Schizosaccharomyces pombe: one gene and its partner. Each later gene encodes a partner of the first gene's protein in a complex. Each region holds a gene or a part of one and is shown on either strand. Other genes may lie near its edges. The genes, in order: cnd1 and cut3.

Region 1 (12,387 bases):
TTGAAGGAAACCGGTGTTAAAATTGGATTCATGAGTTTTTTCTCTAAGGCTTGCACCCAAGCTATGAAGCAAATTCCTGCAATCAATGGCTCCATAGAAGGTGAAGGAAAGGGTGATACTCTTGTTTATCGCGACTTTTGTGATCTCAGCATTGCTGTTGCTACCCCTAAAGGTTTAGTTACACCGGTCATTCGTAATGCTGAAAGCATGTCCCTTTTGGAAATTGAAAGTGCTATTGCAACTTTGGGTTCAAAAGCGCGTGCTGGCAAATTAGCTATTGAGGACATGGCTAGTGGAACTTTCACCATCTCTAATGGTGGTATTTTTGGCTCCCTCTATGGTACCCCTATTATCAATCTTCCTCAAACAGCTGTATTGGGTTTGCATGCCATTAAGGAACGACCTGTTGTTATCAACGGCCAAGTTGTTCCAAGGCCGATGATGTATTTGGCTCTTACTTATGACCATAGAATGGTTGATGGTCGTGAAGCAGTTACTTTCTTGCGTTTAGTAAAGGAATATATTGAAGATCCTGCAAAAATGCTATTAGTATAAAACAGGAACTTTTGAAAGAGGCATGATTGGTTGAATGATAGTGATGCTTTTTATTAAAGACAATTTATTTATCATATTCGTTTGTCGATTTATTTAAAGTAAATGATTTTTAATTTCTAGGTTTATCGAGATTTATCTCATTTATTATTTCCCTGTTCGGTTAGTTAGTTAATTGCAATCTACAAAACTTATGTCCGTACTGGATATCTGATATATAACGGTTTGGTACCGAGTCACCATGGCCTGATGAAACTTTTAAAATAATTTCCTTATTTCAAGAGTTAGTAATAGAAATTTGTAAGGTAAAATGAACATACATTTAGCTCTGAATGTCCAAGTATATCGACGTGTTCTGCCGAGCGAGGTCCTCCTCTCAGATCAAACGCAGCAGGTTCATGCTTGATTTCATAATTTGTGATACTTGTATTAGCAGGATTAAACCTTTTTGTTTGCCAAACTTTATTGCACACCAAACCAAGGGCTAATATTGGTAAAGTTCCATCACCATCATCCATAACAATACCCTAATAAAACAGTTAATAGAATGTTTGAAACATAAATTCTCTCACATTTTCAACTTTTGTTCCATCATTAACCGAGGAATCAATGACAGGTTGCCCCTCAGGATTATTAGTATAATAATAACCTCTCTCAGTTGGTTTTCCGACCCCGTGAACGCAATAAATTTTCATATCAGGAGCATAAGGAAGACTAGTCTATTTGGGTTAGTATAATTTAGTAACTTTAATGTTCTTACTTCTAGCGGATTTATCCATTTAGACGGCATTTCGTTATTTTTTAACACTTCTTTTTCAGTCCAAGCAAGACCGTGGGAATAATTTTTCGCTAGCATGACTTTAAAATCGTCATCTGTAACATTTTTTAAAAATTGTAATGCATCATCTATGTCAAATTCATCGTGGTCCTTATCAATGTCTTCTCTATATCGAATAATTGCACCATTGGAAAAATTTGTTTGATTAAGATCATCTGGAGCCTAAATATTAATAAAAAATTAACAGCACATATTTCTTACCCAACTGGCATTTCCCCATACAACATCGCCTCCTTTAGGAAGCATAGAACTAACTCCTCCCATAGTGCGAACCATCATGGCTCTCTATTAAAAGTTAGAAAAAGTAGAGCACATTTGTATTTTTGAATATACCTCAGAACGGGAAAAAAATTTTTCCAAACTAAACAGTAAATTAGTAACAAATCTCAACAATTTATTGCTTACCCATAGACCGAAAACTGATTCAATTGAGCTTAAAACGGTTAGCAAAAATTAAATATTAACATGTTTAATGTAATTACAATACCTGTATCTTTCATTTCACCCGATAAAAGCGCTGCCACTGTTTTGGGTGCTCCAATCAAAGATCCCGATATCTATTCAAAAGTTAGAAACGTAGTCAAACAACCATCGAGACTCACATTTATAAATGCTTCAATATGATCATTAACCCAAGTCGGTCCACCATTTCCGTAGCCCTCAGCTTCAACCCACTTAAAAAAATAGTACGTAACCTGTGAACCCATGGAGTGAGAAATCAACACTACCTTTTTCTTATGTACAATGTTGCTGTACTCAATGAACATTTTTAACTTTGAAAAATATTTATCACGTTCCTCTAAATTTGCATATGATAACCGCCAATCGTAAGAAGCACTTAACATGTTATTAGGCTCATAACCAATTGCAGCAAGGTTTTCAATTACTTTACTCCAAATCCAATAGCCCGTGATAAAAAAATCAGCTGCTTCAAACCCCTGAGCTGCTCGCAGCTTAATTCCCTTCGGATCCAAGCCGGTTTTTTTATCAAGCATTAAATGTTCAAGCCAGCATTGCTTGTCAAGGAACATTGCCTTCAGCATAGACCAGCTACCCCAAAGACGTTTCCTAAAGTAAGGAATCGAGCAATTATTAAACGACCAACTTTCTAATCCTGAGCTGATAACACCAGGAACCATAATAACAGGATGGTCACTTCGATATCCCTCATTGTACATATCAAGACCAACTTGAACTTCATTTCCGCTAGGAGACTGCGAAGGCTTGTCCGTAGTAAAAGGTGCATCCTTAAACACATTATAAGATAAATATCCTTTAATGTCATCAAACAAGTCTGAAGAGCCTAGCATATTCCCAAATTTATCTAACGTAGCAGGGTCGAAAACAGCATTGTCGTCTCCAACAGCGAAAAAAAAAGCACCGCATATTCCCAAAATAGCGCCCAATATAAAATTCAATCTTTTTCCAAATTTAGATTTTCTTGATTTATTTGAAACAGATTGTGTTTCGGACGCTGAAGGTTGCTCACTCAAAGCGCGAGTTGGTTTCTTTGAATTTGGTAAGTCGATAGGAGATTTGACTTCTTTCTTTTTCTTATGAGTTTTGCTCTTCTTGGAAGACGCCATAGTTAACTTTAAAATATGAATTGCTTGAGCAGCAACTGCCAAACATTCGATAAGTAAGCGAAGTCCTTACTGTCATAGTTCTACAGCAGGAGTGATAACGAAGTGAGCGTTAAGTTGCTTTAGAAACACGTTTAATATCGGTTTCCTTCTACAATTGTATTTTGATTTAGTGTCTAAAAGTTTGAAATACCTTATTTCTAGTTAAACTGAGTTACGTTACAATGCACTTATACTCAGTATATGCCGATTATATTTATTATCAAAACTTCTAGCCTGAGAGGATGATGACAGTTCCAAAAAATGATCTCTGTTCAAGTATGTAATTTACCAATATTTGATACAGCCTAAAATTGAGAAGAGTTCCTCAGTTTTACTTAGCAGTTAATGAAGGTGAATAGTTTTCTAGGGTAAAGTTAAATCTTCTTCATAAGCACAAAAAATAATTAATGACCCAGCTAGAATGTGCAAATTACTTAGCTAATAACTAAATTACCTTAACTTGCGCTTGAATTGTTTAATTGTTGCAAATAATGGGTGTTGTAGATCAATGAAGTTATAGTTATTAACATTCAATTCGTTATAAAAAAGGTATACCGTCATTCTTCTTTTTAATTAGGCAATACTAATATACAAAGGATTTTGAATATGTAAGATAAAGCATTAGAATTGACTTTATTCATGATATCCATCGTCAATGAGCTTTTGAATATTATCGGCTTTATGAGGAAGCAAAGAAAGTGCATACACCACATGATCCCATTGACGTTGAGTTTTACACCGATCAAGACGAGCAGCCAGACGTTCGGCTAATTGCTTGGTATGTCTTTCTTTTTCAATAAAGGACGTCAAGAAACGAATGATACGCTTAAACTTAGCGTCGTCCTCATCCTGCTCCTCTGCACTTCTAGATAATACACTGAAGATATCAATAAAGTTATTATATACAGAATTATCCTTGGCTGCAAAATCAGTAAAAAACATTCGAGCAAGATCAGAAATTCGAGCATCTTCGTCTTCCAAAGAACGAGCCATAATACCCAGCTGGCCCTTTACTTTTATTTGACCAGCTAAAATCAAAAATGCTAGAGTCATAAAGCATGTCTTTTTGACAGAAGACTCTTCATCCATCAGTCTTCTATATAAGTATTCGGATATTTCATCAATAAAATGATTGAAACAAACAGTTAAATCTGCTAACCCGATTACTAAGTTGTTTCGAATAATCGGATTATCACATTTCTCCAGAATGGTTATTAACAATGGAAGATGTTCCATACAAAAATTGTTAGAAAGACACATAAATTTGGACAAAGTCAGAGAAGCAGCTAGTAAAAGGCTTTGATTATTGTGCGATTTATGATTTGAGCACAATTCTACTACCAATGGAGCAAATCTCGAAAGTAAAGAATTCTCACCATAGAGCAACTCCCTTTCACGAATAAATGTCATTGCTTCTGAAAAATCATCTTCACTTGTTCCCGTAATTAAATCATATTCAGAAGTTTCTTGCCCATTTATAGGATTATTTGAGTTCTGTACGGCCAATCTCTCGGCGTCCGCTTTTCGCCGTTTGAACTCTGCCTCACAATATTCGATATAGACTAATTGTTTAATCGCGACATGGCCTACTAAAAATATTAAGTGCGCCAGTCGTATACCTATTTCTTCCTCATCTTTTAATGTTTCTTCTTCTGGAGAATCATCTAAATCTTCGTCCATTGCATGATCATCGTTACTGGTAGTATTCTCATGATTGGAAGGTTTGAAGAGTTGTTTCGTCAAAAGCAAAATAATGTTGGTACAAAGTTCGTCAGGATGTTTGGCAACTGCATATATAGCCTCAATAGCTTGCTCTTCTAACCCAAACCACTCTTCAGAGAACGATGGTCGAAGTAAAAGCATACATAATTTTTGACAAAGCGTATGCGAATTTGGAAAATTAATATTAGAAGAACCAGACGCATCTTTGCCAATACGTTTAATCGCTATACATGTGTACCTTGCAAGAACTAAATCCTCCAAACCAGGGGGACCAAGTCCTATTTGAATAAGATGATCCAAGCCCTGCATGACAACATCGGTATTGCCTAATGCTAGCATTCCAATTACTATGATGGATCCTCTACGTTGTGTTCGAGATATATCCTTCTTTTGATAACTGTATACTTGCCATAGTTTTGTTATGACTAGATGTGAAAAATACCCATCTTTCATCAAAATGCAAAGCATCTGTTCAAGTGATGTAAGCTCAGCAAGGCTAGCATCATATGTTAATGAAATAAGATTTCTCGCAATATAGTTTGCGGCTTCGTTGGTACCAGAGTTCGGAGGTGGCTCAAAAAATAATGTTTTATAACATGACAATACATGGTTCTGAATGTTGTTCCCTTCGTCGGAGGTTCCTTTTACCCAAATTAAATGAATCATTTTTTTTATATATAATTTTGAAGACGAAATTCCAAAAGAATTGCAAAAAACAAAGAAATCCATTGACTCAATTACCTCGCTCTTATTTTTAGCAAACAACAACTGGCTTATTATTTTTGCTCCCGCTTCCACAATGTCTATATATTGGAGTGCTTCTAAATAAAACCGTTTCGTTAAATTCACTTTGACTATTTCCTCAGCAGGAACAGAATCGACATATTCGCTTAGAGAATTTTCCAAGTGACTTTCTCCTTCATGTGACTCATCATCTTGGATCATAGTAGCATCCTCTAATAAGTTTTCATCGACTTCAAGCTCTGAATCTACCACCTTTTCTTGTTGCTTTGGTTGTAAAGAATTAAGCTGTTCCTCGATGATAGATAATCCTTTCTCCCAAATATTTCTGGTTAGTAAGCCATTGTGCATAACTGAAAAAGGATGGGTAGTTAAAAGTTTAGAAAATAACTTAATTGCATTTCGGCGGACATGACTTGACCGATCTTGCAAACATCTGATCACGAGTTCCGCGATTTCTTGACGTTTTCTGGGATACTTAATTGGTAAATCAAATATTTTGATAAAGACGTGAAGTACTTTAGTACGACAGTAAGGGCTTATATCTAGTAATCGCTCACTGAGAAGATCCATTAAGCTTTGAACAGTTGCTGGCACTGACTCTGACATTTCATTTTGAGCCTCATCATGAATTTGATCAATGACCACATTAGCAAGTACTTCTATGATAGCGCATCTCAGAGTATATGATTCCGAATCAAGCAGCTTAACTAATTGAGTAAGCTGTTTCAAACATAAGTTTGGAATAAGTGAAGAAAGACGGACAAGAAACAAAGCGACTTGCTTGGGACCTTTAACATCGTTATCATTAAATTCTAGAGAGCACAATGTTCGAATAATTCCTTCAGCCAAGGTAACGGAATTAAACTGAACGGTAACAATATGAACAAGATCAGCAGCATACTCAGATAAATGCTCAAAGTATTGTAAATTTTGAATAATATTTGTCTCCGCTGCAGTGGTATGGTTATGGAATTGAACAGCAAGCCCGATAATATTAAATAAACGAGAACGGAAAGAAGCATTTTTTATGTTAATTTCACTTTCCATTAACGTGTATATTGGTTTTAGGAAAAGTGAAAGAAACATGTCTCTTTCCGAAGAAGTAGTCCATACACGAGATAATTTTTTTTGAAATAATGTTATGATTGCATCTAACAAAGCATTTACATGTGAGATACCATTCCAGTTAGAGTTAGTAGTTGGATTTTTTTTTCTTCCCTTAACAGTATTAGTGGATGACCGAATAACTGAAAGTTGATTTGAGGAAGAAAGGGAATTGACCGTGAGCTGAAATGCAATGCCTGTAGTTTCTAAATTCGTTTGAGGTACAGTAAAATCAGTAGCATTTGCGGAAATCATATCTTCAAGAATAGCGGATTCAGAGCTGATATTACTCGTGAGTAAATCATATACTTTATTCCTTACAGAGGAAGAGAGGTCAGCAAAGTGTCTAAACCATTATTGTTAGTTTGGTAAAATTGATATATAGTAAACCAAATGGCTTCCTTCTATTTGAATAACACAAAATAACAACTACTTACGAACATATAGCAAAGAGTTTTTCCAAGCAATCCTCGTCGAAACAAGAACTCGTTCCTAATAAAAGGGTATCAATGACGTCTAATTTTTCATTGTTAGTTATTGTGGAATCGATCATTTTCAATTTTTTTAAAAACCCAAATGTCCATACCGTTAACCACGGCTGTCAATCCAGCATTTTCACATTCAGCATAAATCGAGTCCAAGTCGGAATTTTCTTCATCATGAATGTATTTCTTTAATCTAGAAAGAAGATCCAACGACATTGAGGCCACTGAAAGCCGAATCTTTCTATGTTACGAATGAAATAAAAGATGGATTTGGCGTACTACATTCTAGTAGTCCTTGTAAACAATAACCCCACCTATATGTCCTGTGTGGGGGTCCATTTATACTTTCTTACTAACAAAAAAGAGCTACGGTTAGTCAAAATATAAAATAGGAGCTAGACTTAATTGTTGCTAACCACTTTAAGGATATAGAACGTGCTTTTATTAACTCATTTGTTTACATTAAAAAATAATATTTTAATTAACTTTTATTGAGCGTGCCACGTAAAAGCTATTGTTCTTTTTAGTACTTCTAATTAAATGTTTTGAAAAGAATTTAATATATTTTTTGAATAACGTTAGTTGTAAATTCTTTCTTGAGCTGTATTTCTGATATAAAAACTTATAATTTATTTTGGCGCATGTATCATTTTCAAGGTGATTTTCAAAATTATTATGAATGCAAATTTTGACGAGGTAAGCATTTGTGCTGTTTTTAGAATTTTAAAGTAATACACAATAAACTAAACAGAAAACCTATCGTAGTTTAACTAGGAATAAATTTCAAATTCAGGATAATTTTTTTATTTATTTTTAAATAACAGAAAAAAAAAACGTGTTTGAATACCATGGTTAATCATATTTACTCTCAATGTCCAATAAATAGTCAATTCTAGTTGTTTATGGTGGTTATTAACAATAACAAGAGCCCAAAGGATTTATGTTTTTTAAAGCAAGTCCTAAATTTAAAAAAAGATAAAGGACATGAAATCTTAATCTTTTCCATAAGTATACAAATATTATAGCAGAGTACTTTTTTTATTAAACAAAAGTTGGATTAAAAATGTATTTTTCTTGTTTGGAAGTAACAATGTCCCTCATTAGAAGAGCATTTTGCTTAACAATGTACAACTGGTGTTGAACCTGGAATCTGCAAATTCTTATATTCATGGAATGAGTTTGTGTTACACATTTTAAAAACTTGATTTTTTTGAATCTTAGTATTCGTTCGCGTGTTCGGTTTGAAGGTTTAAAATACGTGAAAATTTGTTTTTTCTTGGTTCCTTCCCTTGGCAGCATTTTACCATTTAATTGACGACTCTTTTAATTTTTTTTAAGTTATTATTTGGTTTAAAAATATATGAGTTAAACCGTTAACATGGCAGAGGCCCATATCACACTATCACCTAAAGTAACTCATGAACAACAAACAGATATTGATTCTGAATGTGAAATCACTGAGGTGGACGATGAAAATGTAAACGAAAACAAATCTCAAGAAATGATTCAAGATATCCCTGCACGAGACCGCGAAGAAATTGAAAATATCACAAGGACGTTCGTAGAGCTACAAGAGAACTATCGGCTAATTGAAAAAATTGGAGAAGGTAAACTTCAATTACCGTTTTTAGTACTGTTTTGAAACTATCTTGCTAATTCGTTTAGGTACGTTCTCCAGTGTATATAAAGCGGAAGACCTACATTATGGGAGGTATATTAATGATTGGGACATTCAAAGTGAAGTGTTAAAGGAATCTTCTTTTGGAAAAGAAAAAATTCCTGTTAATGAAGACAGCCGGAAACCGAAGTACGTTGCTATAAAAAAAATTTACGCGACAAGTAGTCCTGCTAGAATATACAATGAATTAGAAATCCTATATTTATTAAGGGGATCGTCGGTAATAGCCCCGCTAATAACTGCTTTAAGAAATGAAGATCAGGTACTCGTAGTTTTACCCTACTACGAGCATACTGACTTTCGTCAATATTATAGCACTTTTTCCTATCGCGATATGAGCATTTATTTTCGATGCCTTTTTCAAGCTATGCAGCAAACTCAGACTTTGGGAATCATTCATAGAGACATTAAGCCTAGTAACTTTCTCTTCGATGTTCGTACCAAGCATGGTGTCTTAGTTGACTTTGGATTAGCAGAGCGTTATGATGGAAGACAACAATCACATTCTTGCCGGTGCACTAATTCAAATGCGGCCGAATTAGCACATGATTTTTCGATTGCGCAGGAAACATCTCTTGGATACATAAAAAACGATACTCGACCAAGCAAACGGGCCAATAGAGCCGGAACTCGAGGATTTCGAGCACCTGAAGTATTGTTTAAATGCTCATCTCAATCACCCAAAGTTGATATTTGGTCTGCTGGGGTTATTTTGTTATCTTTCCTTACTAAACGTTTCCCCATGTTTAATTCAAAGGACGACGTGGATGCACTCATGGAGATAGCATGTATATTTGGAAAAAGCGAAATGCGCCAATGTGCTGCTTTACACGGTAAGAACGATCTAATGTCCCTTACGGAAGTGTTTGTGTTGATTTTTTTCGCTAACCTGCCAGGTTGTACGTTTGAGACAAATGTAAGCACGCTTACAGAAAAAAGAGTAAACTTTAGGAAACTTATTTTGTGGGCCAGTTGTGGTTCAGCCAGTATATACAAAGAAAAGCTTCGTCATAAACCAAGCCAAGAAGAGCGATTGTGCCTGGATTTTTTAGAGAAATGTCTTGAACTTGACTGTAACAAAAGGATTTCAGCTGAGGAAGCATTGGATCACGATTTCTTGTATCTCGATAATTTAGCTTACGAAAAGAAAGATGACGATACAGCTTTTGATAATAGCTTTGGAGAAACCTCTTTCGAGAAAGACGAAGACTTAACTGCTAAGCACTTATCCCATATCCTTGATTTTAAAGAGCAGGAAGAAACAGATGAACCTACTTCTTTATCAAAGCGGAAGCGAAGTATTGATGAAATTTTACCAAATGATGCTTTGCAGGATGGAGCTTGAGAAGATTTGCTGGCAATTTCTCATCAAGCAATCACTTATATTTGTGCATACATTTTCATTTACAGTATAAGCATTACTGTAATCATTGGGTATTAAAGTGAAAGCATTATTGTATGTCTATACATCGAAAATACCCTATGGAATTTTTGGGGTGCATTTTCAGTTACAAACATTAATCCATAATTAATTTTACCATAGCATAACGAACACATATCAGCAGGTGAGGCTTTTTCACTTACTGACTTAATTGAAATAAAATCTCTATACACTATTTGACCAGAGAATAACACTACAGATTGATCATACAACAATTATATTCCATCAAAGTATAGACGGATAAACGAATCAAACAAAATTAATTTTATTAAGCCACTAAGCAATCACAGGATGTTCTTAGGCAATGAGCTCAACGACACCACCAGCTTGCTTGATCTTCTCTTCAGCACGACGAGAGACATAACGTGTTTGAATGATGACGGGAGTATCAGGCAGACGACCCTTACCCAAAACCTTACCGTAACCAGATTGTAAGACATTAATAACGGGGGCAACCTCCGTGTTTTTACCAAGATACTTTTCACGAGTTTCGTTGGGAACCAAGGTCCAAAGACGATCCAAATTGACAGTAGGACGCCACAAAGGATTCTTCATGAGGTGGAATCGACGCATACCAACCTTACCAAAGTAACCAGGGTGATACTTATCAAAGTGACTACGGAGGTGTTGCAAACCACCGGCCTTACCACGACCACCGGGATGCTTCCTGTGCTTACCAATACGACCATGGCCAGCTGAGACGTGTCCACGAAGCTTACGAGTCTTAGAAGTATGAGTAGGCATCTCGTTTCTTCGCCTTAATAGAGTGGGTAGTCTGAAGCAAAAAGATGTGTACAGTTTTTTGAGAGAATAAAAAAAAGCAGTCACATTTATAGTTGAAAGTGTAGCGTTTTACGAATTTAGCCGAATTTGAAAGTTGCAATAAAACAGCTAATAATTAAATATGGAATAGTAATTTTTTAAATATTTTAGGTTTTTAAATTCCTAAATTTGTTTTGTTGCGTGTCTAATTTTCACGGGCATCAGTGCACTTTCCTATATTGTTCGAATGTAAACAATACTTGTCGGCATATATCTTTGTCAAATAATTGTCGCCAGATTGTTAATGTATTGATCGTTTGACAATTGAATTAAATATGTTTGAGGTTGTCCAAAAGCCATGAATATGAGTACCATCATATATATACCTTAATGAATTTAGAGGGTATGTATTTAATTGTCTATATGAAAATGTAGTGAATTTTTGAAAATTAGAGATGAGATGTGTGTGCATCCTTGATTAAGCATCGTAAATTTCTGTCGTTCTTTTATACAAATTTTAAAGAGTGCAATCGTTCGGATCATGTCAAAATTCAAAAAACTAAGACTGTAACATACAAATCTGCGAGCCTAATTGGCGATAATTAGAAAATGTCTTGAATAAGGTAATAAGTTGGATTTTAATAATTTTACTTCACCCAAGAATCGTATTATACTTTTACGCTCTAGGATTATATATAGATAAAAAAACGTTTAACAGTCAATTGGCAAAGATACCACGGTTTAGTAACGAAACTAATTATGCTGAGTTCAAAGAAACTATAGCAACGTATTTTACTTGTTTGTTTAAAAAACTAATTACTACAGTACTCAAAAGTTAGGGTCTCATCCTGACAGTCAAGCAATTGTGAAGCATCGTCGGCATTCTCCTAACAACACTACTTCATGGATGTGAAATCCAAGCATGGACACATAAAGTCCAACCCAGAAGAATCGCTTCTATTTAGGAATTCTGTGTCGAAAAATATAGCACAATTGTCTTCAATTAATTATGCAGACCGGAATGTTCAAGCGGCACTAGAACAATTGTCTGAACGAAAATTCAAAAATGAAAGAGAAGCACGAAAGCAACTTCCATTTGAAGTGTTTTCTGATTTAATATGGACGAATGGGTCAATCATCAAAGAGCTGTCAGAGCTTTCAAGTGTATGTTAAATACTAATCCATCAAATATTTCTGCAACGCACTAACTGTATAGCAAACTTTGTCTGTCCAGAGTCAACTTTTGAAAGTTAAAAATTCAATTGATAGCTATAAAAATGAGTGGTCTAAAAAAACGAATGACGCACAAATCTTATTGAATTCGTATGAGACATTCTGTGAAGAGGAAGCATTGATTGAGGAAAAGCTCAAAAATATTGAAATATTTGAGAAAAACTTTGTAATAATGGACGATGATTTAATTCACTTGACTTCTT
Region 2 (13,079 bases), 2.2 Mb from region 1:
GCTTACGTCTTTAATATTAGCACGCCTTAACAAATTTTCCTACCCGAATTACGTTTTATCGCGAACTTCAAACGTCTTTAATTGTCGTGCTCAATGCCTTGAATACGTTGAGGTTTTAGAACTTTCAAAAAACTTGGTTCCAATCTTTGAAAACACTGCCGCTTCGGATAAGGAAGCACTCGAACAAGCGTTGAACAGTTTTTTTGAAATATATCCTATATGGTCGACATATCTAAATGAAGACATTAGGGAATTTTGGGTGGAAGAAAATAGAAAAGTAGATACTCGATTGGTAAGGTTTTCTTTTAGCTTTCGTCCTGGTGCTGTTTACACATACTTAATACATAAAAGTCTAAATATTCTCGCGAAGTCGCGATTAGTTGAGGTTGAACATGAAATATTAGATACCCTTTTATCTCAAAATATATATTTGGTGGGTAAAAGAGGACATTGGTATAATAGAAAAGCCTTACTGGAATACAACTTTAAAACTGAGGATACTAACGTTTTGCGTTATTGGAAAACGCTTGCTTTATCAACTTGTGAAAATGGTATTGAAGACAAGTATACCCACCTCAGATATTACTTTAGCTTACAAAGGAGACTTGTTCGCTTACGGAAGTGTTTAAAAGTCTCTAATACTACCGAATTAAAAAGCATGAAACTTATAAATAATAATCCTTCAAGACTTTTTCTTCATGGTGAACGAATACATAACGGTGACCTTTCAAACCGGACTGTTTGGCGTAGCAAGACTAATAATGCTATCACAGTTGAAGAGCTTGCTCTTCAACATTATCAATCGATTGGGTGGGAAGGTATACATGCTGAAAGCAGCATTTTGCTAACTTTGTTTGCTTTGACATTCTGGGATATTTTGTTTGAGGACGTTCCTGGTGTTTTTCAATCTCCGTTTCAAAGTGCACCTTTGGATTTGCACACTGATTCCTTTTATATATCTAGAGAATCGACAATCATGAAAAGACTTGAGGAAATAAGAAATGGGAAAGCTGGCCTAATTATAAAAGATAATTATATCAGAGAGCACCAAAGAAAAACATTTTGTGTAGGTCTTAATTGGTCGTATACTTGCGAAATGCTTCTTGAAATTGTCGATTGTATCAACGATAATGGACTCGCCCAAATATTTCTTGCTTTGACCCAAGATTATAAAAATAGTTCTAGCGGGATACCTGATTTATGTTTGTGGAATCCGTCTAAAAAAAAATTTATGTTTTCAGAAGTTAAAAGCGATAATGATAGGCTCTCAGAAGCGCAAAAATTCTGGATATCATTACTAATATCCAGTGAAGTTGATGTTGAAGTTTGTCATGTCTCCATGCACAAAAAAAAATAAAAAACGTGATTGTTAATCTTTTCATTAAATGCATAGCTTATGTAAATTACACTTTGCTTGCTGAATTACCATCGTTTTGCCAAGGAGAATAACTTAGTCATTTCTCATTTTAGAAATGTTGATTGATTTTGAATGGATTAAGTATATAATATGCAACTTATTGGACTGAATTCACATATTCTATTCCAGTATATAATTAAGTTTCAACCCATGTTTTCATGCTGTATACCAATTTGTTTAAAATCACATTCATAATCAAGTAGGATTTTTAATGATACATTGCTTTTTAATCAGTTTAAAGTGAAATAGAACTTACGTTTATCAATGACTTAGTTATAGCTAAAATACTAAGAAATCTGAACGTGATTATTATTGATTGGTCTCAGAATTCGCAAGCTTGACTTTCTATTCTTGGGTAACATGTTACCCAAGTAATTTAGTGTATATGTTTGCAAAACACTATGAGTCACAGGTAAAGCGAGACTCAATTTTTTGTATTAATAGCCACTTTTTGAGAATTGTGGTTTTTAATCCTAAAAATAAAACAATTAGTGGATTTTCCTCTCAATTTTATTTTGAAATTTAAACAACTCTTATTAGTAATTCAAAATGGGTGGTGGAGATCTAAATATGAAGAAAAGCTGGTAAGTGGATTTATTTGCATTAATATAATTGTTTAAAGATGTTTTACTAATATTATGATTAGGCATCCTCTGCTAATGAGGAACCAGGAAAAAGTTTGGAAAGATGAGCAAGCTCACAAAGAAGAGATGAAGCGAGTCGAGCAACTTAGGCGAGAAATTGAAGAAGAACGTCAACTATTGGAATTACATCGGCTACAAGAAGCTGCTGGTGGAAAAAAAAGAAAAGACAGAGTTGAGTGGATGTATGCAGTTCCTAACACGAATGGACCCAATCGTGACTCTTCAGAAATGGAAGAATATTTGCTTGGAAGGCGACGTCTAGATGATCTTTTAAAGGACAAGATAGAGGATCAAAATAATTCATTAGAAAAAACAGAGTTTATCGCTCTTCAAAACGCGAACTCCCTACAAGACACACAGGCAAAGTTGCGACTAGATCCTTTACTTGCAATCAAGCAACAAGAACAAAAACAACTACAAACGCTTATGGAAAAAAGGAAATACTCTTTAGACTCTGATAGAAAGTCGAAAGAACGGCGGCACCGCGATCGTCATCATCGAAGCAATCAAGACAGAAGCAGGGAAAGGTCAGATAATGAACAACATTCTTCTGACAAAAGGGAGCATTCAAGAAGAAGCTACCGTAATGACCGAAATAATTGGAGAGAACGCACACACAATGATCGCTATCGGCATCGAGATAAATATGACTCTGGTTATTTCAAGAAACATTACGATGATGATATGCGCTTTGATCAGGGTCATTTTCAAGATGAAAGAGACCTAAAAAAATATGTGCGAACAAGCAGACAATATTCTCGTTCACCATCTCCGGATTTCAGGACTCGAAATCACCAATTTCATTCTCGAGACTCGCAACCTATCACTCAAAGGCATACCGATATAGAAAGCCGTTTACAGAAAATGCAAGACAATGCTAAGGAATTAGATGAGTCACGAAGAAAAAAAATTGAACTATTGGAAAAGAAAGAAAGAGATGAAGAACAGTTTTTGGAAAAAGAGAGACGCGATACCGCAAGAAAATGGGATAACCAAGGAGATTTTATCAGAAATATGAGAAAAGAGATCTACTCTGGTGATTCTGTAAGCTTGGCAGATCGTGTGAATAGTAGCCGACATAACATGTTAAGGCCGTAACGTGATTTCTATGTTTTTTCTAATATAACTTTGATGCATAACGATATAACATTTCTGAATAATGAGTGGAAATGACGGTGGTAAACAGTTGAACATATCAGTTTAGGGTTCATTAAATAAATAGCTTAACATCCAAATGCATTGCATGATAGACGGTAATATTTTTTAATAATACATGAATTCTTAAAATTAACCATTGTTATCAACCAGAATAGTCGTGATCTTCGTTAATTACTTGTACCCGTTCAGGAACATTTTCAGCTTCGCTTTCGCGATAGGTCGGCGATCCGATTACATATCTCTCATTAAATCCATCGCATGATGTCTTTGGTTGATTCATTTTCTCATTTAATTGATTGTGTACTTTGCAAGCCCACGTAGTTGCTGCTTTTCGAGAACTTGTTTGTGGAGGATGTACATCTAGTATCTTTTGGAGTTCCACAGAGTATTCACCACATGGCATTGTAATAGCGGAAGAAAATAGATAATGTCTTAAGATATCTCGCTCATCTAATGTTGGTCTGTTTGGATAATTGGAAACAACCGTATGAATTAACTTCCAGTATGCATTTACCATTAAATTATTCGTGTTATTATCGTGCTTCGTGGACATCATCTCAATTGGTTTTCTACCTTGACCTTCTCGATCCGGAAGCGATTTAATTTCAGGCATAAACAGACGCCAATCTTTGTCTACCATAACACTGTGAAAGATCCATATAATAAACGATAAGATTAGTAGGGTAGGGAGAATCACCTGAATTCTTCTATTAAGGATCATGTTTTATAGTATTTAGCTACTTCGTTTTCCCCGTAAGAACACCTTCATCTACCAAATTAATTGTAAAGGAGAACTGCAAGGACAGAAACTCACGCGGCTTTTTTGATCTGATATGCGGCATCGCTATGTTGCAATAACGAGAAGGAATTGATGGTAAACAAAACTAACCTCCTGGGTTATACAGAGCGAGTGCATCGTTATATCTAATGCTAATTAACAGAAAAACTTTTAAAGTAGTAAGATGGAACAGGCTGCTGGATGATCCAATGCATTACCAAATTGATTTAGATAAATGTATTGCCAACCCTTTAATTTTTTTTTTAGATATTAAATATCTTTTATATCAATTCTATATGCTTTTTATTTTAAGACTCAGAAGAGTTTTAATTATAAGTATAGTTAATAGTTAATAAATATGTAGTTTAGTGATAGAGATATAACCAAATAACAACAAAAAAATTAACTAAAGTATCATTATTATAAAGTCCATTGCTAGGTTTTATCACTATAAAATTTTTTTTAAGTTTGGAATTATTTACTAAAAAAAAGAAACTTAACGTAAATAAATAAAAACTAAGAGGACTTGTTAGTTTTTGTTTAAAAAATAAATAAATAAATAAAGAAGGAAGAGTTTAGCTAAGTTATCAAGTGAGCATAGATAGCATATAATAATCTATGTTTACAGATTTAAATGTTTTAAAGATAAATTACTTGCAATTGCTTGAAGATATGAATTTGCGTTTGATTAGTTTAAATCAAAATGTAAGAATTTTGGGTTAAATTAACATATGGCAAAAGGCTTGTCAAGTTTAAAGCTAAAAAAATACAAAACAATAGTGAATTTGAAAAGTTGTTCTAAAAAACTTGGACAAATCGTTTCCTTGCATTAACATTTCATTTAAAGAGCTAATCTATTTATATTACTTACTGATTATTCTTTATTCGTGGTTATTTCACACATAGGGCTACCCAAACAAGGTAAATTTTTGCGTCGTCTTGCTAGATTTAATGAAGGAATACAGAACAAAAAATCTTTGAGCTTTATATTTATTGTGTGAATTGAAAGAGGATGTTTGCTTGTGCTAGTAAAAACTTAGAAACAGCAATGTATTCTGCTCGTCCTTTTAATATTTTGCTAGTGTAAAGTGTCAGAGCAATATTCTCTTTTACTTAATTTTCGTTTTGAGTTAACTTTCAACGTCCAAGAATACCAAATTGACTAGCATAATAATTTAATGTATAATAGACACATGAGTTTATAATTACAGGTAAAAAGATGTTTGAAGTCTTCCTTTAAATCAGGTGTGTAGGTATAAAATAAATAGATCATTTTCATCTAACATGACCTGTTTACACAATTATACTTCAGTCTTTAGTTTATAAACATGGGCTTTAGTGTAATTTAACTGTGGGTTTTTGTATATTTTATTCATTAATTGACTTCATCGTTGGGTGAAATGCTGTTCAACCGTTGTAAACAACACACCTCTTTTCACGACCACCCACTCTTTTAGAATTTTAAGTAATATATAATTTGTTGAAGATACTATCTTTATGTCTGACAAGGGCATCTTTCGAACGTCTTCAACACCCTCGATTGTGGATGTTACGCCAGATCGTGGTGAAAGGCCACGAAAGTTGGTTCGCTCAGTGCTAGAATCTCCTTCTCAGAAAGATGTCGCATCAATTGTCAAGATAGAGCAAACACCATCTCGCCCATTTTTCAATGACTTTTTAAAAAAAAGAATTACCGATTCTTTAAACGAACGCCCTAATTTGCTCAACAAATTTATGTCTGCTCAAGATGGCACTCCATCTAAATCAACAGGTTTCAATGAACGGAGTTCACAACTTGTGTCAGAATTTACTACTACAGAGGATATTGAGAATTGTGAAGAAACCACTCAGGTTCTTCCTCCTAGACTGGTTGTTTACGAGCTACGCCTAACAAATTTTAAATCATATGCAGGAACTCAGATAGTGGGTCCGTTTCATCCTTCTTTTTCTTCAATTGTTGGACCAAATGGCTCTGGGAAATCTAATGTTATCGATGCTTTACTTTTTGTTTTCGGTTTTCGTGCTAGTAAACTTAGGCAATCCAAAGCGTCTGCCTTAATTCATAAATCTGCAACTCATCCTTCTCTCGATAGTTGTGATGTCGAAATTACTTTTAAAGAGGTAAACTCTGACTTTACTTATGTTGATGGAAGCGAACTAACAGTTCGTCGTACTGCTTATAAAAATAATACTAGTAAATACTTTGTAAATGGGGTTGAGAGTTCCTTTTCTGCAGTTTCTAATCTTTTAAAGGAGAAAGGAATAGACTTGAATCATAAGAGATTTTTAATTCTTCAAGGAGAAGTCGAATCAATAGCGCAAATGAAGCCCCGGGCTATATCAGAAGGTGATGATGGTCTTCTTGAATATCTTGAAGATATCATCGGAACCTCGAAATATAAGCCAATTATAGAAGAGAATATGCAAGAACTTTCGAATTCTGATGATATCTGTGCTGAGAAAGAATCTCGTTTAAAACTGGTGCTCTCTGAAAAGGCGAAATTAGAAGATAGCAAAAATTCGGTTCTTTCTTTTCTCAAAGACGAAAATGAGTTGTTTATGAAACAGAATCAGCTTTACCGTACTATTCTATACGAAACACGCAATAAAAAGACGTTAGTTCAAAACTTGCTTAATAGTTTGGAAGGAAAATTACAAGCACATTTAGAGAAATTTGAACAAACCGAGCGAGATATTTCGGAAAAAAATGAAGAGGTTAAATCATTGCGTGAAAAGGCAGCAAAAGTAAAAAACGATTGTACTTCAGAGAAGAAAACTCGCCAGTCTTATGAACAACAGACTGTGAAGATTGAAGAGCAGTTAAAATTTTTACTTAATAAAGAAAAAAAGTTAAAGAAATCCATTGAGGCTCTTTCATTCGAAAAATCAGAAGCAGAAAATTCTTTAAGCTCTCATGATATTGATTCCCAAAAGTTGAATTCTGAAATTGCCGATCTCAGTTTAAGACTTCAACAGGAAGAATTGAGTTTGGATGACATTAGGAAAAGTCTACAGGGAAAAACGGAAGGTATTTCAAATGCTATTGAAGAAAAGCAAAAGGCTATGGCTCCCGCCCTCGAGAAAATAAACCAATTGACATCAGAAAAACAAATTTTACAGGTTGAGTTGGATATGTTATTAAATAAAGAAAATGATCTAATTAACGATGTTGAGTCCTCTCAATCTTCGCTTGATAAACTGCGTAATGATGCAGAAGAAAATCGGAATATCCTGTCTTCTAAGCTTAAAGTGCTTTCCGACCTAAAAGGAGAGAAGAAAGATGTTAGTAAGAACATTGAAAGAAAGAAGGAAACTGTTCACAATACTTACCGAAATCTTATGTCAAACAGAACAAAGTTGGAGGAGATGAAAGCTTCTTTAAGTTCTTCTAGATCTCGTGGAAATGTGTTAGAAAGTCTTCAAAGACTTCATGAATCTGATAATTTAAATGGTTTCTTTGGACGTCTTGGTGATTTGGCTACAATTGACGAGGCTTATGATGTGGCCATTTCAACTGCCTGTCCTGCTTTAAATCATATTGTAGTTGACAATATTGAAACTGGACAGAAATGTGTGGCTTTTCTGCGCTCCAATAACCTAGGCCGTGCTAGTTTTATTATTCTCAAAGAACTGGCGCAGAAAAATTTAGCTCGTATCCAAACACCTGAGAATGTTCCCCGGCTCTTCGACTTACTTCGGTTTAATGATCAGAAATTCGCTCCTGCGTTTTATAACGTTTTGCAGAATACCTTAGTTGCTAAAAATTTGGAACAGGCTAATAGAATTGCGTATGGCAAAACACGTTGGAGAGTTGTTACACTAAGTGGTCAGTTAATTGATAAATCGGGCACAATGACTGGAGGTGGTACTCGAGTAAAGAAAGGCGGAATGTCCTCAGCTATAACGAGTGATGTATCGCCGGCTTCAGTTGAGACTTGTGATAAACAAGTGCAACTAGAAGACACTCGATATCGCCAACACCTAAGTGAGCTGGAGAGCCTTAATCAGCGATTTACTGAAATTTCGGAACGTATTCCATCGGCGGAACTAGAGATTTCAAAGCTGCAGCTTGACGTTTCTGCTTGTGATAGATTGGTAGCTGGAGAAGAGAGGCGAATCTTGCAGCTTAAATCCGATTTAAAAAGTATTAGAAACAACAATGAACGTAAACGGAATCTCCAAAACAAAATATCAAATATGGACAAGGAAGTTGAGGCCATAAATATTAACAATGAAGGCCTTGTCACTGAAATTAAGACGTTACAAGATAAGATCATGGAAATAGGTGGGATTCGATATCGTATACAAAAATCAAAGGTCGACGATTTGCATGAGCAACTCAAATTTGTTAAAGACAAGCTTAACAAAATGAGTTTCAAGAAGAAGAAGAATGAGCAACGCAGTCAATCTTTCCAAGTTGAACTATCAAACCTTACTAGCGAGTACGATACAACTACTGAAAGTATAGCCACTTTAAAGACTGAACTACAATCGTTAAACAAGTATGTGGATGAACACAAATCTCGGCTCCGCGAATTTGAAAATGCTCTATGGGACATCAATTCCTCTATCGACGAACTAGTAAAATTTATTGAATTTGAATCTAAGCAAATGAATTCCGTTAAAGCAGAAAGGATTGAATTGGAAAATCAAATTCAAGAGCAGCGTACGGCATTATCAGAGGTCGGCAATAATGAAAATAAATATTTAAAGCTCATGTCAAATCTGAAGTTACACAATTTGACTGAATTTTGTGACCAGACAACAATGGACTCAACTTTTCCCGAATATTCTGAAGATGAACTGAGTTCAGTTGATAAAAGCGAGCTGGTCTCTAATATTTCAGTCTTGAAAAAGAAAACTGAAGACAGAGAAGTAGATATCAATGTTTTGTCTGAATATCGTAGATGTAACAAGGAAGCAGAAAAGCGTGATTCTGATTACCAAAGTGAATTGCAAAAAAGAACCGATTTGAAAAAAGTCGTTACAGATCTTCAATCTCAGAGGCTCGATGAGTTTATGTACGGATTTGGAATTATATCTATGAAGCTTAAAGAAATGTATCAAATTATTACTATGGGCGGAAACGCAGAGCTTGAGTTAGTGGATAGTTTGGATCCGTTTTCTGAGGGGGTATTGTTTAGTGTGATGCCTCCCAAAAAATCTTGGAAGAACATATCTAACCTTTCGGGAGGAGAGAAGACGTTAAGTTCTCTAGCCCTTGTCTTTGCTCTACATAATTACAAACCGACTCCTTTATACGTTATGGACGAAATCGATGCTGCATTAGACTTTAAAAACGTTTCGATTGTTGCGAATTACATTAAGGAAAGAACTAAAAACGCGCAGTTTATTGTTATTTCTTTAAGAAGTAATATGTTTGAGTTATCTTCTCGTTTGGTTGGCATTTATAAAACGGCGAATATGACTAAGAGTGTCACAATCAACAACAAGGAAATACTTACAGATTAACTGCACATTCAAATAAAAACGTAGAAAATTGGAAACTAGATATTTAATAATTTACGAATTTTTGGCTACTGAATGTCAGTGTTTCATAATTCACAGTGTGCATACTAATAAATCTATGTTATGAGAAGATTAAACTAATTTAGTTTTGTGGCACCCAGTTTATGTTAATGTTTCAGAAATCTGTTTATGAACGTAATAGGACTACAAATATATAAAATTAATCTTCACTCGCTTTTAAAGCCTGTAAAATCTGCGCAAAGGAATTGTATATAATTAAATATGTTGTTTACATCATCAATTTCAGAAGGTATCTACAATTTGTAGTTACATAGTATAATATTTTAGTGGGTAATGCTTTTAAAGATTTATTGCAATCGTATGCATACCATATAGAACGTATCCAATTTTAAGTAATTTAATTTTATGGTAGTAAATTAAGAATAATTAGAAACAAACAATAAATTAGATTAAACAATATGAGTCGTAAACTTAAATAGGAAATCTCAATGCACACGACGAGATAAATGAAAGACCAATTAACAAGAAAAATGCAAATGATAAAAGCTTTCCAGCTAATAAGAGATAGGAGGACTAAGGAAGAAAGTAATGAAGGAAATAAATGAATGTTAATTACCACATGGCTAGCACCATGTAGCCTAACATGGAGCATCTGAGTAACACTTATTTTATAGCCAGTCGCACTGATGGTGTTCCCACCCATTAAACTCAGTCAAACCCAGGTGCTGAATTTTCCTCTTCGATTTCGATCGGTTTCTTTTAAAGGACAAGCTTGATTCGCCTTTCACAGCAGATTTAAGACGAGAATACGCATCAGAAACTCGGGAAGTAACATTTCTTTTAGAAGGTGTTCTGTCTATTAGTCCCTTGCGAGAGGAAACTTCTTCAATATCGAAAAACTCTATATCATTTGCAGAATTTTTTAAAGTGCTTTTACTACTCCTTCTATTGGCTCGTTTTTGAGCAACAAGCTTCTGAATTGCGGCGCATTCTAATCTGTATTGCGAATTGCTAAGTTCCTCACCAAGTGCACCTCTTGCAAGCCGTGCAGGGGAGGATGGTGAGGCATAACGACTATGGTTTGAAGAAAGACCAAAACCCTGCTTTCCAACGCTGTTTAGCTGTTTCGAAACCGAATATTTATGAAATCTTAACTTTAATGGAGAGATTGGTGAAAGTAAAGGACTTGAATCACCAATGGAGTTCGATGCCGCTTCCAACAGCCATGGCGAATGCTGCGAAATGTTTTTGTCCCAAGGTGATACTGGCGACTTTAACTCTTTATATATGGCATTGATCAGTTCGTCAGATATATGATGTGATAGCTTCAGTGAATTAGAGGTGCTATCTCCAGAACTTGACCTTGTTCTATCGCTTTGATCATCACTGCCATCAATGAAACAGCTGGTTTTTATATTATGGAGTTGCAAGGTTGCTGGTTTTTTCCTTATACCATTCATTGTAAGTTTAAAAGCAATTAATCTGCTTGATAAAAAAATTAATTGACTATTTTGTACTTAATAATGAAGCTAGGAGATCTCTGTATTCAATTATTGTTAAATCCTACGATTCTTATTTCAATGAATCAAGAAATAATATATCGTTAGTAAGATAACTTTTATTTACAGTAGGCCACGAGTTAGCGTGTTATATACAAGACTGAGATCACAAGGTTTCTTTGTTCATGGAAGACAAAGAAAGCTTTTATTGACTTCAATAATACGTAAATTTTAATTAATTATTAAGCTCAATAAATTATCGGGAGTTTTGAAATATTAATTTGTTTTCTCATGTTAGATGGTAATTCGAGATAGCTATTTGGCGGTTAGGTTAAACCAAAGCTCTTGAACCAAAGCAAAAACATAAACTGATAGCTACTTTTAGAATATTTGAGATAGTAAACATTAAAAACTATACAAATATTCATTTAAGAGATTACAAATTAATTTTCAACACCAACCGGTGCACTAATAATAAATTAACTAAAATCAACTTAAACGTATGAATAAATAAAATTTGTAACGGTCCTCATTATACCGACATTTTCATGTTCACAATGAGTCTCATAGACAGGTCATTAATCGGGAAAAAGCCATACTTTCTGGCATTGTGCCTAATAAAGGTACAACCGGATCTTCAAAATATTAAATTCAGGTTCTATTTTTATCATTGTATATAAACACAAGGACTATACAAACCTTTTCCCAATCACAATTTTCAACATAACAGATGCTTTCAAAAAATGGAGAAACGTTGAATAAACAGAGAAACAATATATGTCTATGGTATTCATAAGATATTGTAGAAGGACAAATATGTCCAATTTGCTTTTTGAGACGACGTGCAATAAATAAATAAAAAACAATTGCGAACCATCGTATCACAAAATTTTAAATCACAACTTGCCATATGTTTGTAGATGTTGGAAATGCGATGTTGTCTTCATCTTCGTTACCCACTTGAAGCTGCTTTAGCAAAACTTTCTTTTCATGAAGCATTTCATTCCATGGATCTTTATCGTCGATCGCTGGATCTAGAAAACATGATTCATCAAAATTAATTTGAGTAAGCTTATTTTGCATTTTAGTCTTATCTTTATCTGCATCCAAAGCAAGATTCATGGTATCTGGTTCCTTTAAAAATCCGATTTCAGAGTTGATTTCATTACCTAAATCAGCCCAAAGCTCCGAATCATCATTAAATGAAAATTTTCCGTCCAATGACAAAATATTAGATGGACTAAGTGAGTTTTTGTTATCTGTAAATGATAAATCTGGAGTTGACGGAGGAATGAAAAACGACTGAGGTGTTTTCAAAATAGAACTAGGAGTCTGTGATGATTTGATAGCAGAAACTTCTTCTTCATGGTCTACAGCCACAAATGCATCGATTGCGTACTTCAAAGGATTAGCAATTGCTTCTTCCCGAGCTTTAGCCATTCCTTCCTCTTTGGCTATAGTACCTGGAGAAACACTAGAAGGTATTTCATCTACACTTGACATTATAACATCAGGAGTATTTACGACTGAATCCTTAGGTTTTTGAACTGTCGATAAGTTTTCTATCTTTTTCTTCTTAGAAGGCGGTAACTTGAGATCTTCTGGTTTTAAACCATGTTTCATGACTTGTGATGCAATCTTCTGTTTGGCTTGCAAATCCGGCTGAGATACATCCAAGGATTGGAATGCAAGTTTACTGTCAACAGGAAAAGATGTGTTACCAACAGAATTTGCTTTGGCTGCAGGTTGGGCTTGCCCAGGAACACTGGGTTGCGCATTAGGAATTGATCCATTGATAGGACGTACATTGGATGATACAGAAGGAGCTTGAGGAAACTGGGAAGCCTGTTGTTGCTGCTGTGACTGTGGCTGTGGCTGCTGCTGTTGATTAATAGATGCAGTACGGAGCGAGGAGATATGGGCAAGAGCATTTTGAATACTCATATTATTGTTATTTACTTCATGGTGAAGTCTTAACAGTTGAGCTTTCACAAAGGCAAAATAGCGACTGGTTTTCTCCTTAATCTTGGCCAATGTTTGCGGAGCACAAGTAAAAACACCTTGCTGAAGACCTTCAAGTTGTAATTTAAATA

Evidence for each region.
Region 2: cnd1 (region 1) and cut3 share a complex: the UniProt entries of both Schizosaccharomyces pombe proteins name them as parts of the condensin complex.

What each region holds. Positions count from the first base shown.
Region 1 is NC_003423.3:3,195,037-3,207,423, reverse strand, and holds cnd1 (condensin complex non-SMC subunit Cnd1), read right to left. Parts: upstream 7,337-12,387; 5' UTR 7,287-7,336; coding exon 7,172-7,286; exon of another isoform or gene 7,102-7,171; coding exon 7,023-7,101; exon of another isoform or gene 6,998-7,022; intron 6,932-6,997; coding exon 3,649-6,931; 3' UTR 3,438-3,648; downstream 1-3,437. Other genes in the region: kgd2 (dihydrolipoyllysine-residue succinyltransferase), read left to right, coding at 1-555; phospholipid--diacylglycerol acyltransferase Plh1, read right to left, coding at 665-707, 756-823, 873-1,079, 1,125-1,271, 1,313-1,552, 1,592-1,675, 1,724-1,751, 1,796-1,823 and 2 more; Dbf4(Dfp1)-dependent protein kinase Hsk1, read left to right, coding at 8,449-8,677, 8,736-9,581, 9,645-10,093; rpl2801 (60S ribosomal protein uL15), read right to left, coding at 10,487-10,933; COG complex subunit Cog6, read left to right, coding at 11,855-12,115, 12,168-12,387. UniProt on the Schizosaccharomyces pombe protein: Regulatory subunit of the condensin complex, a complex required for conversion of interphase chromatin into mitotic-like condense chromosomes.
Region 2 is NC_003423.3:998,879-1,011,957, reverse strand, and holds cut3 (condensin complex SMC subunit Smc4), read left to right. Parts: upstream 1-5,434; 5' UTR 5,435-5,494; coding exon 5,495-9,469; 3' UTR 9,470-9,695; downstream 9,696-13,079. Other genes in the region: fan1 (fanconi-associated nuclease 1), read left to right, coding at 1-1,357; protein Cwf25, read left to right, coding at 1,967-2,001, 2,064-3,159; erv2 (sulfhydryl oxidase), read right to left, coding at 3,362-3,940; SPOM_SPBC146.02 (uncharacterized protein), read right to left, coding at 10,156-10,947; mediator complex subunit Med15, read right to left, coding at 11,878-13,079. UniProt on the Schizosaccharomyces pombe protein: Central component of the condensin complex, a complex required for conversion of interphase chromatin into mitotic-like condense chromosomes.